3 linked regions of the Ovis aries genome follow. The protein of the gene in region 1 purifies or fractionates together with the protein of each later gene. This does not show direct contact. Links are inferred from orthologs where the notes say so. Each region holds a gene or a part of one and is shown in the gene's direction. Other genes may lie near its edges.

Region 1 (3,653 bases):
AAGTTCTTATTTTTCTTTTTTTTTCCATGCTTTTTTTTTGTTATATAAGTTTCAGGTGTACAGCATTATAGTTCAACATCTGAATATACCACAGAGGGATCAACGCCACAGTCTAGTTATCATCCATCATTTGTATCACCTTACATTTTACCCCCATCACCCATTTCACCTATAAAGCTAACCACCTTCTCTCTCTGGTAACCTCTTTTCTGTTCTCTATGTCTGTGAGTTTTTTTTGTTTTGTTTGTCTGTTGTTTTGGGTTTGGGTTTTTTCCCTTTGTTTTTAAGATTCCATGTATGAGTGAAATCATGTGCTATCTGATTTTCTCCTGTTTATTTCTCTTAATAGTCTCATGGCCCATCCCTGTTAATGTTTTTCTCTTTGACTATACATTTTCTTTAGTTTCAAGAAATGTTTCAGAGAGGTTGGATAAAGTTTATAAGGGATATTTATAAGTTAGGGCTTCCTTATAGTTCTTACGTTGTGTTTTAGTAATTCTACCCACAGGTATAAGTCTCATTTCCACAGACTTAACAATAAGTTCGACAAAGAAAGTGTTCCTAGTCTCATCGCCTTTTTAGATACATGATAGTATTTTATATAGTGATGGGTACAGAGTGATTTCTATTTTATGATTAATATTTGTTGAATTTAATGATAGTGAAAATGGGGAAATATGCTAGAAAACATTAGTGAGTTGTAACTGATTGTAAACTCATATTTTCCCAGTTCCTATTTTGATGAGAAAGGTTTGGTGAGACAACAGCTGGATTCTTTTGATGAGTTTATTCAGATGTCTGTTCAAAGAATTGTGGAAGATGCTCCACCTATAGACCTACAAGCTGAAGCTCAGCATGCTAGTGGAGAAGTTGAAGAACCGGTAAGATGGTTATTTTAATAAAGTAACATAAATAAGGGTATTGATTTGAAATTTCAGTCCTTTTCTCACCTGGCTTAAAGGTTAAAAAAGAAAGGTGTACTTTCTGTAGTGTACTTTCAACAGTTTCTATCAGCTCCTGATTTAGTCTTACTAGTGGAGAGATGCATTTTTGCGAGTAATGCAGAACTGTTAATTCCTATTCAGATAGTAGGTATTTAATAGTCAGGAAGAAGAATCTCAAGAGATATGATGAGCTACTGAGAGAAGCAAGCCAGAAATAGTCATATTACTTCAGAAAATCCTCCTTTTGTCTTTCCAAGTATAAGTAATAGAAAGAAAAAGTAGGTGAAGAACCTCTGCCTTGATTATTTGTTGCATGAAATACATTGTTATATCAATATAAGAGGTAAGGGGAAATCACCCAAATATATCAGCTCTTTTAATTTTTCTAAATTAGTTTGTAGTCTTTTTTTTTTTTAAACATGTGCATGTTTTCAGCATTGTTAAAATCATAGCAGGGCTATCATTTTAGAATCTAGTTTTGAGTGATTGTAAAGAAGTGTGTATGTAGTCGAAAACAATGACTGTCCCTAGTTTTTTTTCCTTAATTTATTTATTTTTAATTGGAGGATAATCGCTTTACAATGTTGTTGGTTTCTGCCATACAGCAACATAAATCAGCCATAGGTATACATATTTCCCTCCCTCATGAACTTTCTTCCCACCCCAGTTTTTTTTTTTTAAGTACTATTTATTGCTGCATGGTTTGGGGGAATCTCAATTTCCCCCACCAGGGATCAAACCTAGGCCATGGCAGCAAAAGCCCAGAATCCTAGCCACTGAGCCACCAGGGAATTCCATGTTCCTAGTTTTTGAGTAGAGAGGCAGCTTGATCGGTCTTGAGGGACAGGGAAAACTAAAAACCAAAATGAGGTAGAAAAGAAGTAGAAGTAGACAGAGGGAAAGATTATTATTTCCTGCCAGATCAGTCCCTCTTTTCCGTAGCTTATCTCATAAGTGCTGGTGTATTATTCTCATTTTAGGTGGAGCTACTGCATAGACTTTGCTCTTGAGAACAAAAATAATTGACTCTTCAGGCACTGTGTTGGAAAAATGGGTATAAAATGTCTTTGTTTTTTTTTAATGTATGGCATTTTTTTCTATATGGTCTTTTCAAAACGAGAGACAACAATATAGCATATTCAGAGTTCCAAAATAAATACTATGGAAGGAAGAGATCTCGTAAGCTTTGGTATCAGAGCTTAGTGAAAAAGATGGGAGGGACTTAAGCTGACTGTAAAGGGCATTTGTCTTAGTAGAGAAAAGATATTTAATCATTTCAGCAAGAGATACTTCATGAATTTGGCTTGTGGTTGGAATGGAGGGACCACCGTAGTCAGTGTATTGTTTTTGACTTGATCTCTTTTTGATAGTGGAAGATAAGATGGAACTAGGTTGTCACATGCTTGGATGTCATTGGCTGTCATGGGAAATTGTGGAAAGACTGTCAAAGAATGTATTAAAGTGTTATTTAAAAAGGTTGCTTTGGAAATGGTGTTTACTTGGAATGGTAAGAGACTGGAGTCAGATACAAATTTTGAAATAGCTTAAGTTTCAGATAATAATGTCCTAAACTAAGGTGATAGTGGAAATAAGTAGTTGGATGGCTGGATTCCTTTTGTTTCATTATCAACAGTAGTTCTTTTTGCTCTTTGCCTACTCCAGCTTGGGAAACTTGGGTATTCACAATTTTCCTTTAGTGATCTGCGTAGTTCCATCTTTTCCTTTTCTGAGGTTTGATTTAGAGAGAAATTCCGTATCCATTTAACTCTGGAAAGTTCTCTTGGATCTTGTTTTATTGGGTAGCAGATATTTAATTGAAAATTTTTCTTTCTCTCTTTTTTTTTTTTTAACTGTGAAATAAGCTATAGTCAGCCATGGTTGGAAATTCTCATTTCTTTATGTAGAATAGTAATTAGGATTTTCTGTTGTTGTTTCTTTTTTATTCCTCTTTGCACACAGTATTGAAAGAAGGTGGCTATCATACTGATTCCATACATCTCTTACACAGAAATGCCCCCTCAAGGATTCCCAGTTATCTGCCCATGGGAATTGGCAGTTAGTGAATGGGGCAGAATGCTAAGTTTTGGGAAGGTTTCTTGAGACATTTTTGTGGGAAGTTTTGGGTCAGAAGGAGAGATGAAACCCAGCAATGAACGTTCCATCCTTCATCTTCCTGGGGAAATTCTAATCCCAAAGGTTTTCTGAAGAAAGGCATCTCTTTCAGTGACCTCGGGATGGGTGGTGCCTGGATTAGGTTGGGGCAGAAGAGGACAGTGTTAAGCAGCAGAGTTCACAGACCCAAGGCAGAGAATTGAAATGCCTGTTGGGGAGAGAAGAGAGAAGGGGACTAAGAGAGCCTAGAGGTCCAAGTCCTAAATTCCACCCTGTCTCCAGTTCTGAGCAGAAACTCTTCTTCCCAAGACTCAAGTAGAGTTTTAATTCAGGGACTGTCTTTTCTCTAGGGCACAGAGAGGACAAGTCAGGTGGAGATCTGATGGTAGTGAAGGTGGAGAGTTAAGGTATCAGACACAGAGATGGACATTCCTACAACAAACACAGACCACAGCAGTTTTGAAGCTATGAGCCAGGATCAGGGTAAAAAGAAAATTCAGCTGTGTTGAAATACAGAATTTTATAGACCCTCTTCGATAAAATTTAAATCACTGTTTCCATGCTGTCGCTTCCTATGTTCCCAGTATTTTTTTCAAG
Region 2 (3,653 bases), on another chromosome or scaffold:
TATTCCCCACACTGTACATTTCACCCCCATGACTCATTTGTTTTGTAACTGAAAGTTTGTACCTCTTAATCTCCATCACTTATTTCTCTCCCTGACATCCACTCCCCAAGTTAATGCCTTTATAAAAATGTTATCTGCTTTAACTTAGTTACCAGTAAGTGAGGAGTAAAGAATAAGCCTTTTTTCTTGATTTAACTCCCTTTTTCTATATATATGGTCACTGAGAAAGTACTTAAGTCGTATAGAACTTTTCTTTTCATCTCAGACCATCCCTACTGTAACCGGAGAGCTCCTAGCCTAACCTTCTTGGGTTACTTGGCAGTTATCCGTGACCATAAGGAAGTAAACCAGTGTGAAGCTGGAGAAGTTACTAACAGACAGTGCTGAGCATAGAAGCTTCAAAAGCTGGTTTCAGTTTCTTGTCGGGAGGGAAGATACTTCCAGGGTACCTTTTGTCCTCCTAGTCTGTTCCTGAACTTGCTGCTTTTGCTATCACAATTCAGTGATCTTAGCTTGAAAATTTAGGAAACAGATTTGAAAAGTGACTTGGATGCTAAGAGAGAAACTGATTTATTTCCTCAGAGGAAGCAGAGATAACTTGAGAAGTCAATTAGCTTAGATATTATAGAGAGTCTCAAATTGTATTGTTTCTTATGTGTTAAATTCCATTTCTTTGTTTTTTCCACCCCCTGCAGACATTCGTGACACTGTGAAGTATAAAGAAGTCATGAAACAGTATCCTTTTCTACATCTACTTTGTTGTTGGCTCATCCCTGGTTAGTTACTTTCTGTGTATTGTATAGCTTTGAAAAAATATCTGTGCCTTTCCTTGTGAAGTATACTAGCAAAAGCATTTGATAGTTTTCTAGTAACTTTATAAAGAGGAGGGATGATGAATATGAGGAGAGGCATTGTAGGTGATTAGACATCCTATTTCAGCTTGTGAGTTCCATTTTCTGCCTTTGTCCCAAACTGCAGGATGTTGTGATTAGCACAGAGGATCAGCGGCTAGCTGGTGGTGTGCCTGGGTCCACAAGGTAGTATTGCCTTGGTGGATACAGCTATTGGTCACCATCTCTTTAGACTGGGAAACTCAAAGGTTAGTAAGATCAACTGTAAGTTTTGGGTTGGTCAGCTCTTAGTACATTGCCCATAAAATGTGTATTTTCCCTTTAGGTCCTACTGAGTAGGAAGACTGACTCCAATCCTCAGGTGACTTGAAGAGTGAGAATCAGAGCAAGGAGTGGTACATAGACGATCTTCATGGCTAATGCTCTCAGACTGTCAATGCCTGAAATATCTGTCCATTCCATTTGGCCCCATTTTACGTGGCCATTGTTAAACAATAAATGAATGAGGTAGACATCAATAATGAGTGTTTCCCTATGAGGTTAAGATTGTGTGGTACATTTTAGTCAATGGAACACTAATGTTATGCTGGGTTTGTGTGTGTGTGTGTGTGTGTGTATGAGGGATTGTCAAGATAATAAACTTTATCATCTAAATTGATCTATAAGCAATTTAAATCCTTAACTTAATGTCTAGGTATGGACTTGGACCTAATGGTGGCATAGTGACCTCACTTAATCTCTTTGCTACCAGATTTGATCAGGTATATCTGTCTCTATTTACATAAACATGGCTGTGTTAAAACTTGTGACTCTTAAATGCCTTAGCTTGATCACATTGGGAAAGAAGGGCAATCCATCTGGATGTCCATATAGAACATAAGGAGGTATTTTGGTGGACAGAGAAGTAGGCTATGTGAGGATGATCAACATGGCGAGAGACTTCACACTGAATGTTTGTGGCAGCCAACAAAGCAGACACCTAAGAGACTTGAGTTCTTTTGCTCTCCTTTTTTTTTCGGCCATGTGGCTTGCAGGATCTTAGTTCCCCAACCAGGGATTGAATCCTGGGTCTTTGGCATTGAAAACACAGAGTCCTAACCGCGGGACCGCCATGGAATGCCCCCAGGTTCTATTCTTCATCTGTGCAGTTTTACCCCAAGGATGGGTTGGAGGGATGGGGAGTGGGAAGGTCTGCCAGGAAGAGAATGGAATGATTATGGGGCTTCTCACTTGTAGCAGATAGTTGTCATCATCTATTAGGTTTTTTCTGTCACATTCCACTTCCTTAAGAGAGTTTTGCATCACTATTTTTTTTAACCTCGGTTTCACTCAGTGAGACAAGCTGTTAACATTTTACCAAAGCACCAAGAAAGAGACTTGGGACTGACAGATCCAAGTCTTCAGCTCCTCAGGTGCTTGCCCTGTGCTCCAGGGTGTTGTGGTGCTGCAGGTGTGGCTTTGTTTCTTTAGTTCCATGAACATGTTAGTTGGTGTCCTCAGATGGACAACATAGAGATTCAGTTGTTAATGGTGCCTGTGAGGTGGGCCACTCTGGACAGGGCCCTGTAATTTTTTTCTGTTGAACTTGGATTCTGTTGTAATTGACATCTTTCTCTTTTAGGTGATGAAATTTATTGAGAAGGCTCAGAACACATCTAAGTAAGTGATTTCAGTCTAATGCCTATTTATTACTCTGTAGTAGATGTGTTTCAAAGTTTTTTTGAAAGATTTTGGGATACTATCAAGTTTTGAAAGAGTGAAGTTTGAGATGAAACCATGACAAGTGAAGAAAACTGTGGTCAAGAAGACAAGTTATTGAGATGCTCTACAGTGTGGAGCTTAGTTTAATAGAATCCCATCCCCAATCACTTTGGAATATGGTTCTGGCTTCTTAGGAGGTATCTTTAGAATTTGAGTCAACTCACTTGTTCAGTTGCCTTCTCTTGCTTGTTGGCATTAAAGTGTCTGAAATACCTTTCTAATCCTTGTTTACAGTAATATAATTCACATGATTCAGAGAGACTATTTTTTAATTTAAAAAGTATTAAAAAATAAAATAGAGTAATATTCTTATTATCATTGTCTGTGATTAACAACTGTTGTTAAATTTTTAATAGGTTTGCTTTTTTAAAAGAAAGGAAGATAATTTGTTTTTGTAAAAAGAGTATAGACATTACTGTGACTATTTCATACCATGCATAGATTTAAAATAGGAATCTATCACCCTTCTTATCATTAGAAATAACAATCATTATCATTATTGCTACTGTGAGGATATAGTAGCAGTGATTTATCATCCCAGGTGTTTCTGTTTATATGTACATAGATAGAAGGATGGCTGGATAAGGTGTTTTTACAAAAAAAGGATCATATAGGAGTAGTTTTTTAAAAGTAACAGCTTTGTTACAGTATGAATTCCCAGACCATAATGTGTACTCTTTAAAAGTATACAGTTTAGTAGTTTTTGGTATATTCACAAAGTTGTGCATTGATCATAATCACCTGATTTCAGAACATTTTCATCTCCAAAAGAACCCCATTCTCATTAGCATTCATTCTTTTCCCTATTTCTCCAAGCTCCTGGTAGCTGCAGGCACCATTTTACAACATACATGCATTGAGGGTTCCATTTTCTGTACATACTTATCAGTACTTATTACTGGTTTTGATTAGAGCCATCTTAGTGGGTATGAAGTGGTGTCACATTGTGTTTATGGTATGTATTTCCTAAATGATTAATGATGTTGAGCATCTTTTAATGTACTTCTTAGCCATTGGTATATATTTGGAGAAATGGCTGTT
Region 3 (3,653 bases), on another chromosome or scaffold:
TGAAAATCAGTGTGGAACTCAGAAAATAATATTAAGGAAGAAATGTATACAAAGCAAACCCTACTCCTGTTTTATCTCTCAAAAGATCTCAAGATCAAACTACCAAGGCCCACTTTGGAAACATTCTAAATCACTTTGAATTTACTCTGTATTTAAAGCAGTATTATCAGCCTCAGAGAGTTGGGAGGTTTGGGGCCCCACCCCAGAGATACTTGTTCATTATGTCTGGGGAGGAGCCTGTGAATCTGTATTTTTTTAAGAAACATCCCTGGTGGACTCATGTGCAGAGGTCCTGGATCAGTCGTCTTTGAGGATCATTGAGTAAAGTGGGCTCAGGAGTTAGAATTCCAAGTTGAGTGATAACAGCCCTTACAGAGGCCTTGAAAGAAGCTGAAGTGTGGAGGAAAATTTGGAAGTAAATGTATAAGTTACCTTAATTGAAAAACCCTTTTTTTTAATCCAAAATCTCAATATGGCCTGCATTCTTAGATTTGAGTAGTGAACTAAACACTTGGGGTATGTGTAAGTAAGAAGCTGTGTTCTGTTGTTCAGGAATTTGGAAGCTCCAGAGGTCCCAGTGTATTCTGTAAAGGGCCATAAAGAAATTATAAACACTATAGATGGTGTTGGTGGACTTGGAATTGGGGAAGGGGCACCTGAAATTGTGACTGGCAGCCGAGATGGTAAGTCAGAATATTCTGTGTACATTAATTTTTTTTTTTAGTTAAGTCTCTGTGCAACAATATATTCTATGTGGAAGTCTTCTTCAATCCTTGACCCCCTAAATCTCTCTATTTTTTTTGATGGGCAAGTTTGATTGTATATCCCTCAATTGTTTCAGGCTCTTGGGAGATTTCGAGATAGAGGCATAGCACTTACTATTTTAGTCTTGTGCTAGTTCAGCTATTAACAACCATAGTTTCCTCTGAACCTTGAGGATTTAAAAAGTCTCTAGAAATTTTTGAGGTAGCTGACGATATACTGTGGGTGGCAGCTTTTCATTTTCTTTTTTTAAAAAGCAGAATTAGTACTTGTGAAAATTGTCATATTGACAGCTGGTTGAACACTGCAGTCTGTGGTCTTTCCGCTGAGCTTTGCAGGAAGCTTCCGGAGCTCCAACTCTGCTTTTCCCCCGCAGTGACTAACAAGCAACAGGCCTTTTGGGGTCCTGAGCTGTTGTGAATAAAACAGAGTCAGAATTTTTGTTGCTGCAGAAGGGGGACCTAAGTGATTGGTATATTTATTGGTTTGGCTAGGTTTTTTTTAATGCTCAAGACCATGAAGAAATTGTTTTCACAGAAAAGTAGAATTTAATTTTCTAACAGTTTCTTAAGAGCAGCTGTGTTTTAGAAATCAAATTATTTTTTCCAATCGTAGAAGAAGTCTGGAATATAGAAGGAAAAATTACAGTCTACCACACTAGCATAAATATCAGGTTGGTTTTCCTTTCCAGTCTAAGATACAATTTATTAATTAACACTGTATTATCAGGGTTAATATGATTGAGTTTTGTTCTTTCTTAGTCTGTTTATTTTTTTGGCTTCACCAGGGCATGCGGAATCTTAGTTCCCTGACTAGAAATGGAACCTGTGTCTTTAGTAGTGGAAGTAGGGGGTGCTAACCACTGGACCGCCAGGGAATTCACAGTTTTCTCAATTTTGTATCTTAATCTTTTTATATTTAGTGTTTTGTCATATGAGATTGCTGTTTTGGTGTGGTCTTCATAATTATCATTTTGATGCTTTATAGTATTCCATCCTATGAATGGATCACAGTTCCTTAGCGATGCCCCTGTTAATGAGCATTTGCTTTGCATGAAGGTTTTATTTGTTGTTTTGGGAGAGTGACAGTGAAATGAGTATCATCATGTATGTAACTCTTTGGAATAATCATATTTTATCACTTAAGAAACTTGTCAAACTTCCCAAGGTACCTATTTACCGTATCAACTATGGTAGATGAGGTAGATTGCTAGTCTACCCACCAGCAATTGATTCCTTTCTCCCCCTAATTTTAGAGATAAAAATGCTGTCCTGTCCTGACTTGCATTAACGTCTCTCTGTATTTGTTTTTTTAGTTAATTTTGTTTTGCAGATTGTCTATGTATGTCCTTTGTTCATTTAACTGTTACAAGCTTAATGTTACCAATTTTTATGAGTTCTGTCATGTATAACATGCGTGCTCAGGCATGTCCGACTCTTTATGACCCCTGTGGACTGTGGCCCACCAGGCTCCTCAGTCCATGAGATTTTTCAGGCAAAAATGCTAGAGTGGGTTGCCATTTCCTATTCCAGGGGATCTTCCCAACCCAGGTGTCTCCTGCACTGGCAGACAGATTCTTTACCACTGAGCCACCAGGAAAATGCATAGAGAAATTATAATAACTTGTCACATTTATAGGAAATTTATTTTTCCTTGAAGCAGCCTTTATAATGACCAACTTTATCCTTGGCCATAAATCTAGTGAAATATCTCCCCGTTTCCTGCATTTATTATCCTTTTCATGGATTTTTTTACCCTTTTTCTGTTGGGTACTTGCCTTTTAACCATTTTATTACATGTCTTTGTGTTTCTCAAAATCAGTGACACCAGTTAGTTTTCCCATAATTTGCATTAAAATGAGGGAGTTAAATTGAGAAGAATTATTGGTTACTTTTATTAACTTCTTCCCTCTTCTTTACTGCCATGGGGAAATTAAACTGAATTGTATATGAAATGGTATTCTAAAGCCTCATATAAGAAATCATAGATGCAAAAATTAGTTTATTTATATGTATAAGATGTGAGAGTTGGACTGTGAAGAAAGCTGAGCGCCGAAGAATTGATGCTTTTGAACTGTGGTGTTGGAGAAGACTCTTGAGAGTCCCTTGGACTGCAAGGAGATCCAACCAGTCCGTTCTGAAGGAGATCAGCCCTGGGATTTCTTTGGAGGGAATGATGCTAAAGCTGAAACTCCAGTACTTTGGCTACCTCATGCGAAGAGTTGACTCATTGGAAAAGACTCTGATGCTGGGAGGGATTGGGGGCAGGAGGAGAAGGGGACGACAGAGGATGAGATGGCTGGATGGCATCACCAACTTGATGGACGTGAGTCTGAGTGAACTCCGGGAGTTGGTGATGGACAGGGAGGCCTGGCGTGCTGCAGTTCATGGGGTTGCTGAGTCGGGCACAATTGAGTGACTGAACTGAACTGAACTGATATGTATAAGAAAAATGCCAATGATTATATGGGTACTAAGGAGAAAACATTAAAATGATACTTGCTTTAGTCTGAATAAATAGTACATTTGTTTTAGGCTTAAATCAAGAAAGTAAGGCATGGTTTAACTTACGTAACATTTGTGTTTGCCTTATCAGTCATACCTTGTTGACAACTTAAGAACAGTTGTTGGCTTTGTTGTGTATCTGCTAGTTGGAAATCAAGTCAGACGGTATAACATGTGGGTTATAGCTCTTATATTAAGTACAACTTGCCCAATAACAAGTCAGAAAAACATGACTGTTTTTCAGATATTGTAACAGCTATAATATCTCCATGTACATAGGAAGCCATGTGAAGAGAATGCAGAAAGAAATGCCATCATTCACTGTTAAATTTTGCCAACTCCTGTTTTTTTTCTGTCAGGAACCGTAAAGGTGTGGGACCCACGGCA

What was found. Proteins that work in one complex are often made in the same cells at the same time.
Region 2: the proteins of POLR2B (region 1) and GPN1 purify together in Homo sapiens (affinity purification with mass spectrometry; 4 studies listed by BioGRID and IntAct, with this or other methods). This does not show direct contact. The link is inferred for Ovis aries from reciprocal best matches to the Homo sapiens genes POLR2B and GPN1.
Region 3: the proteins of POLR2B (region 1) and DNAAF10 purify together in Homo sapiens (affinity purification with mass spectrometry; 3 studies listed by BioGRID and IntAct, with this or other methods). This does not show direct contact. The link is inferred for Ovis aries from reciprocal best matches to the Homo sapiens genes POLR2B and DNAAF10.

The regions. Positions count from the first base shown.
Region 1 is NC_056059.1:73,103,983-73,107,635, forward strand, and holds part of POLR2B (DNA-directed RNA polymerase II subunit RPB2), read left to right. Parts: intron 1-730; coding exon 731-881; intron 882-3,653. UniProt on the Homo sapiens protein: Catalytic core component of RNA polymerase II (Pol II), a DNA-dependent RNA polymerase which synthesizes mRNA precursors and many functional non-coding RNAs using the four ribonucleoside triphosphates as substrates.
Region 2 is NC_056056.1:34,651,076-34,654,728, forward strand, and holds part of GPN1 (GPN-loop GTPase 1), read left to right. Parts: intron 1-695; coding exon 696-735; intron 736-1,545; coding exon 1,546-1,612; intron 1,613-2,472; coding exon 2,473-2,510; intron 2,511-3,653. UniProt on the Homo sapiens protein: Small GTPase required for proper nuclear import of RNA polymerase II (RNAPII). May act at an RNAP assembly step prior to nuclear import.
Region 3 is NC_056056.1:40,182,799-40,186,451, forward strand, and holds part of DNAAF10 (dynein axonemal assembly factor 10), read left to right. Parts: intron 1-552; coding exon 553-683; intron 684-3,625; coding exon 3,626-3,653. UniProt on the Homo sapiens protein: Key assembly factor specifically required for the stability of axonemal dynein heavy chains in cytoplasm.